Bombyx mori: one gene and its partner. The protein of the gene in region 1 purifies or fractionates together with the protein of each later gene. This does not show direct contact. Links are inferred from orthologs where the notes say so. Each region holds a gene or a part of one and is shown in the gene's direction. Other genes may lie near its edges.

Region 1 (3,500 bases):
TACGTACACGATTTATAGTTGCTAACATAAATATTTGCCTGTACTCCTTCCAGGAGGCGATACAACGCGAGGCGTCCCTGGAGAATCGTTTGCGCACGTTACGCGAGTGCGTGGAGCGCACGAGAGCAGAAGCGCAGGCCTCGTGGGAGTTGTTTGTGGGCGAACAACGACTTCTAATGCGGGTGCACACTCTCGAGTCCATGCTGTCTGTCGGGAAGCAACCGGACGAGCAACATCTCACGCAGCTACTCAACGACAAGAGGAACTATCAGGTATCAACAACTGTCAACAACTATCGACTGGTGGTAGGACCTCTTGTGAGTCCGCACGGGTTGGTACACCACCACCCTGCCTATTTCGGCCGTGAAGCAGTAATGCGTTTCGGTTTGAAGGGCGAGACAGCCGTTGTAATTATACTGAGACCTTAGAACTCATGTCTCACGGTGGGTGGCGGCATTTACGTTGTAGATGTCTATGGGCTCCAGTAACCACTGGATACCATGTGGGCTGTGAGCTCGTCCACCCATATAAGCAATAAAAAAATCTGTAAAGTGAAAATTTTCAATTTGGCCTTATTTAATTGCTTAGATTGTGTGAACGTTAAGTGGTTACTGGAGCCCATGGATATCAACAATGTTAATGCCGTCGCCTACCTTAAGATATGAGTTCTAAAGTCTTCGTTTTTACGTTGGTGGGATTTGTGGTCTCTGTCTTAATTCAGTAGTAAGAAATGCGAATTATAATTACTGCGAATTAAATTTTTATTACACGATGATATTCGTTCATTATTAAAGTGTTTTCGTGAATATATGTCAAATTTATATTTCATTATTTGGATCTGCGATTCCACCGTCGCTATTATTTCTTAAGATGTTCGTTATTTTATACGTAGAAACGTCTTACACACAGACTTACTACTAAACAGTAGGCATATTATGAAATATTAGAACTGTTGAAATTTGGAAAGTTTAATTTAAAAAAAATGCATATACCTAGTTTTCATGCACTTGTACTTGTGTACTTACTTCTGATATATATCAGCGAACCCTGTTCAGTAAGCTGATTCCAAAAGATGTATATGTTTGTCTCCACTTCCAAACTGGAAATCGTTTTGACTGATTCGGTGGTGCATTAACTAACACCTCTGGCGCTGGGCCGAGGGTCGTGGGTTCGATTCCCGCATTGGGCAAACGTTTTTGGTATGAACAGCATTATTTGTCCCGTGTCTGATTAATATCCGTATATGTCTATTTTTAAACGTACACATATATTTGTTTTTGGTTGCCATAGTTCAGGGAATACAAGTTCGGGGTCATATGGCATTTGTGACCAGCAACCTTCCTGTCCTTTTTTTTATTTATTTTTTATTACGGCCCACCTGATTGGGAGTGGTTACCGTCGCGCATGGACTTCAGCAAAGCCAGGGGCAGAGCCAAGCCGCTGCTTACCGCTTAACGTTATGCCTTACGTTAAGACGTTATGCCTTAAGCTTGAGAAATATTGTTTCGTGTTACAGAAAGTGGCGCAGGAAAGTCTTCGAGCGGCGCACGAGCAGCGGCTCGCGCTGGAGGAGTCGCTAGAGCGACGCAGTCGGGAGGCGGCCGCCCTGCACCACCACAACTGTGCGCTGCGACTCGCCGCCAACAACGCGCTCGCCGAGCTGCAGGTCACTATTTATTGCCGTTGCAGGCAGACGACTTACTGGTGGTAGGACCTCTTGTGAGTCTGCCCGGGTAGGTACCCGCCTATTTCTGCCGTGAAGCAGTAATGCGTGTCGGGTTGAAAGGTGGGGCAGCCGTTGTAACTATACTGGAGACGTTAGAACTTATATCTCAAGGTGGGTGGCGCATTTACGTTGTAGATGTCTGTGGGCTCTAGTAACCACTTAACACCAGGTGGGCTATGAGCTCGTCCAAACATATAAGCATTAAAAAAAAAAAACGAGCATACCGCCTACCTGATTGTGGGTGGTTACCGTCGCCCTATTTACTTCAGTAATGCCAGAGCCAAGCCGCTGCCTACCGTTAAGTACTCTCCACAAGCCTCGTTTGAAGAAGGACATGTCATAGCGCTCTGGGAACACCGTGGATGGTACGTGGCAAAAAAGATCTCTGGAAACGCACTGTGGATGAGCGTAACGGCTCCAGGTAGCACGGATGAATTCTACTCCGGTGGCAGGCGTTGGGATGATAAAAACGAAGATCACTCTTTGTTTATCGGTGCACCACCGCAGACAACCGCCACCCACCTCGTGATGTAAAGTCGAAATCCCAGCTGTACTGTCTCGCTCTTCAAAACGTGAGAACACTTCACGGTAGATATAGACAGTACTTCGTACCTGCCGGTGTTCAACACGGTGTTTCCCAACTTGGGGCCCAGGCCCCATAAGGTGACAATTTGATAATATAGGGAGTAATCGCACTAAATGAATATAGAAAATTTGTATTAAAATTACTTTGAATTTGAATTTCAATTTTAGATTATATGTTTTGAAATATTAGTTACTATGTTTTGATAACAATTTGATAGTGATTTCTTCCTAAAACCTGTCATTTATGTTTCTTAAGCGAAAAAATCAATTGCTTAATGTTAAAAATTATGTATGGGGGGCATACAAATTTTAGAAATGTTACATGGGGCATGGCACAAAAAAGGTTGGGAAACGCTGGTTGAACATCAACCAAACCTACCATTGAAATATGCCGCAATCTCATATTATGTAGTGTTTGAAAACAAAAACGTTGAATATAGAAATGCACTGCTATTAAATCTGGTGTGTGGTTACAGAAGCTGGCAGCGAGATGCGAGCGTAAGATGTGCGCGGCGCGGCTCGCCATCACAGCCGCCGAAGAACGAGAGAAAGCTGTGAGGAGCCAACTACCTCTCGCTGTGAGTACATTAAACTTATCCATAAACAAAAATAATAATAATTATCAGATATATTTTCGCAATGTATGTGTTGATAAATAGTTTACACTGTTCTAAATAGGAGAAGGGCAGGAGAATGATGATGATGACGTATTGATTTATCTCTTAAAATATATTTCTACCAGTATTCAGTACAAAACGGCGAGACGAAGATGTTGGTGCTGAGTACGGACAGCAACAAGCTACAGGAGCCGAAACGCAGCGCCACCCTCGAGGAAGCCGTCCGGGCCCTTCCTGATTACGTCAAGATGCTGCTGCCGCAACAACTACTGAATAAGGTATACTAGCTCATAATGGCCTTACTGTACTGTTACTGATGCGGGGTACCGTAGTTTGGGGGGAATCGGGGCCCTTTCCAAATATAACACAAATTTTCAATGGTTTTTCTTGGGGTAGTACCAATAAAATTGAGATTAAAATAGTTCCGGAGGTTTAAATTTTTATATAAGATGCGTTATTATACATAGTTCATTACCTTTTTTCCTACCTATGCTGATAGCCTTGAGAGGCTATTTCAGCTTCGCCCTAACGTGTAGGTGAGCTCACGGGGCTCAAACCGGGAGTGGCCCGGT
Region 2 (4,111 bases), on another chromosome or scaffold:
AGGAAACAATTTAGAGGCTTCTTGGTATGAAATGGGGTTTTGAGACATATGTTTTTTAATATTTGTTTGTCTACTAAACTCAGGGCAAGATTTGTTTGTAGCCATATGTTCACCTCTACAGTTAACACAAGAAAAAGTCTCAGTATTACAAGCCAGTCCGCTGTGCTCTCCAGCACATTTATTACATCTAGGTTTGCTCCTGCATTGAACACGAGTGTGTCCAAAGCGACAACAATTGAAACATTGTACCGTTGGATAAATATACTGTTCAACTGGAATACTTGAAAAAAAGGAATACACTCTAGAGGGAAGAGACTGTCCGTCAAAAGTCAAGACCACAGTTTGAGTAGGAATCCATGAAGTTCCATCTGAGTTGACAGACTTCCTGTTTAATCTACGGGATTTGATAATTTGTCCATAGCCTTCTGGGATTTGCAGATTGTCTACAATGTCCTCATGAGTCCACTCCTGAGGGATACCCTTTATCAAACCCATTTTACATATATTATATGTAGGAATCACTGGAATCACAATGGATTCATAGACATGTTGGATATGAAAATATTGGCATCACTATGTGTTTTAAAAGTTATTGCCAGGCGATTACGACCTACTCGTTTAATTCCATCCTGTAAGATATTACCAAGATTGCTTTTCTTTAGAAAATTTCCAAATTTAAGTGGGTGCAGTGATGTAGTACTATTAGAATCTGAGATTAAAGTAACATGGACCATATATGGACCAGGATCCTGTTCAGTGTATTTTTTTCTGTAAACAGAGTCAGCCATTGGGGTCTCAGATGGTGTCATAGAAGGACTCGCTGAAGTAGGCTCTGGTGAGGTCTGTACAATTTGGCGAGGAGGCACTATAAGCTTATTTACGTTATTTGCAAGATTTCCCGCCAAAGCCTGCTGCAGCGGGCGCAACGAAAGTTGTTTGTCCGAGATCTTTGGTTTAAAAGAATTAACAAGTTTCTTTTTTTGGGATTTCTTCGATTTAACGTTGACAAATTCAGATACGTTGGAAAGGTCGAACTCATCACAGAAAAATATTGGTTGGCTAAACCTTGAGTTAGTCGTATCAGTTGTCTCCTCAGTAATATTCGGATCCGGGGGATCCGTTCCCGCCTCCAACTCCATACTATCTACGCTAAAGTACTAAAATATACAATTATAAACTAAACATATATACAGTTATAAACTAAAATATGCTACAATATCTACAGAATATCAAATTAAATTAGTTAAAAAGGATATGAATTTTTTAATTGGCCCTCTTCTCAAGTTCCGTCCCAAATTTTTTGAAGGTTCCCGCCTCTCTCAATCTGTGGTTCAATGAGTGAAATCGTATTTTTTTTTTATTGATCTGGTGAAGAGGCAAAGAAACTTTGATCATACTCCTAAATTTTTATTAAATATTAAAATATTAAAGCCATGCGTCAGTTGTATTGTCATGGTCTTTTCATGAAAACCCTAAAAACTATGCCTATGATATTTTCTTGTAATTTTCAAAGTACAAAGGATTTAGCTGTAGGTGCTTACATTTCGTTTACAATGGACTAATCAAACAAGAAAATTCAATACGTTCACGTTGTTTGACTTTTGGCGGGAACGCGGGGCGAGAAGTTGTGTGAATTGTTTTATTTATTAAATTAGTCTTTCTTTGGGTTTCAATGTGTAATAGCAGTGGTTTATTAAATGTTTAGTACCCGTGAAAGGGCAAAAATGTGGAAAAATGAAACAAAGCCGCCGCGGCGCCGTGCTGGGTGTAGTTTCCCAGGATCTTCCAAAAAGTCTCAGTAAATAACCATATCACTCAGACTATACTTCATCCCAACTCATCTTGTTTCATTTACTTTCATCCTAATTGATTCATATTTCAAATTAATTAATTTAATTTCGTTCTCTTCATTTTTCATAAAAAAGGAACAATTTGGTTGTAAGGTGATACTTTCGCCTTTCCAGTTAGAAAAAGGGAAGTACTACCACTTGACATATTTCTCAAATTGTCACCAATGATTACAAAATTTACCTTCATTAATTAAACTGTTTTTATCTGATTGTTACTGGCCTACAATCATTGGGGTTTTATAAATTTCTTAGATAAATTGAAATATTTAAACTATCACAATGACAATGGGCGATGAATTGCCTGTGACTTCTTTGGTATTACCAGTTTTAATTCGCCCTGTCCTAACGCAGGTGAGTCGTTCTAAATCTACTTACATGTATTAAAATATGACCTTATCATTTTAGGCATTCTAATCAAGGTAACTTAACTATCAACTAGTTTCTTGGTAACCTCAACAAGACCCAATATCAGAATTAATAAAATGAATTGATCTTGTATCTTTTGTTTTACAGTCGTTAATAATAAAGAAACCACTGTAATATTGCTTTCATAACTTTATTCATATTTTGTTACTGGTTACTGGAGTTCTTAGAAAAAATATCATGAATACTGTTGCCCTAAACTTCAAGTCTCAATTGCCTGATACAAAAAGTTATCCGAGCAGGATAACTGACAGAGCAAGATAAAGCAGACATTGTTATTTCTTGGGAAAAATAAAATGGTACATGTGTGTTCATTTTGATCAATGTCGTCTTAGATTAGGTAGCAAATAGACGCAAAATTATAGGAATTTAAGGATGAAAATGGTGAAAATAGTAGTACTGTTATAGGAAAGGTAAGTATTAATAGTAGTATGTATTTTGTCGACCCAAGCAAAGTCGATAGCCAGATAGACTATTATTAATATTATTTTCCCACCTAAAGTATGTTTTAAAATGTGTTTTCAGCTGGAGAAATATGATCTGGCTGCCTCTCAGACATTACGAGCAGCTCTCACCAAAGCAGAGGCTGCAGTACCTGGTCTTAATTATGATTTGGTGGCAGGAATCATGAGGAGAGCAGATATTCCTGTTAATATGAATGAGAGCTTATTAAGATTACAAGGGAGTCTCACAGATTCAGAATGTATGAATTTATATTTTTTTGTATTTAGTTAACTTACAAGTTTATGATACTATTTAAAAAACCTTCAAGTTATGAAAACTGACCATTTTTCAGAAATAAAACGATAAAGACAAAATTAAAAAACAAACGATTTTACAATGTAATCTCAAGAAAGTTCTGTTTATAGGTACTGATTTAAGGCTGAACAGGACTGAAGAGGCATTTCAGGAGCTTAATAAGAAATCTGCTGCTTTGAAAAAGATACTGAGTCGCATTCCAGATGAGATAACTGATCGGAAGACTTTTCTTGAGACTATCAAGTATGTGCTGTAGAAAATGCAATATTGGTTGTATTCTTTAATATATCAACACTTGAAAGGCAAACATGACTAAGTGACAATGCGTGTACTTTACAGTAGACCAATTTAAAGCTGAAATACCTGAAAAAAATTCAATTTTAATGAATCTAGCTGTAGGATTGAAATGTTTTTAATATACCTAGAAATATATATTTTTTACGCATTAAATATGGTTATTGCCTATCATTTATGTACAAAGCAGTTATTATTGCTTAGTCACATTTGCCTTTCAAGCGTTGATATAATAATCAACATTGTAATAACCATAGTATATAATTTAACAGGGAAATAGCCTCTGCCATAAAAAAATTACTGGATGCTGTAAATGAGGTATCTACATATACTCCAGGTCCTGGGAAGCAAGTATTAGAACAGAGGAAAAGAGAATTTGTAAAATATTCAAAGCGATTTTCTACTACACTCAAAGAATACTTTAAAGAAGGACAGTGAGTATTTATGTCAATTAGTTACAATCGGAGATCCATTGTTTTTTATTTTTATTGCATTAGAGCAGTGATTCTGAACCTTTTTTTTGTTGCGGCACATATTTAACTATTTCAAAATTTGGCGGCACACAAAGAAAAAGATAAAAATTATTTACTTACTACCGAATCACATACATTTGCTAATTTTAACGAAAGATAAGGTGCAGTAACTACTATGCAACACCTTGTGAATCCCAACGATCACTAAAACAACACGTTTTGTACGAAAAAGTGGCAAGTGTGCGCCGACTTGAGACATATTCCTATTGCTATGCACGCCGCTTCATCATAATTTGGCACTAAGAAAAACCG

Evidence for each region.
Region 2: the proteins of sarcolemmal membrane-associated protein (region 1) and programmed cell death protein 10 purify together in Homo sapiens (affinity purification with mass spectrometry; 3 studies listed by BioGRID and IntAct, counting the BioPlex papers as one, with this or other methods). This does not show direct contact. The link is inferred for Bombyx mori from reciprocal best matches to the Homo sapiens genes SLMAP and PDCD10.

The regions. Positions count from the first base shown.
Region 1 is NC_085114.1:11,202,830-11,206,329, reverse strand, and holds part of sarcolemmal membrane-associated protein, read left to right. Parts: intron 1-53; coding exon 54-272; intron 273-1,516; coding exon 1,517-1,666; intron 1,667-2,787; coding exon 2,788-2,889; intron 2,890-3,053; coding exon 3,054-3,206; intron 3,207-3,500. UniProt on the Homo sapiens protein: Associates with the striatin-interacting phosphatase and kinase (STRIPAK) core complex, forming the extended (SIKE1:SLMAP)STRIPAK complex.
Region 2 is NC_085110.1:8,725,734-8,729,844, forward strand, and holds the start of programmed cell death protein 10, read left to right. Parts: upstream 1-1,311; 5' UTR 1,312-2,129; coding exon 2,130-2,201; intron 2,202-2,798; coding exon 2,799-2,976; intron 2,977-3,142; coding exon 3,143-3,275; intron 3,276-3,598; coding exon 3,599-3,760; intron 3,761-4,111. UniProt on the Homo sapiens protein: Promotes cell proliferation. Modulates apoptotic pathways. Increases mitogen-activated protein kinase activity and STK26 activity. Important for cell migration, and for normal structure and assembly of the Golgi complex.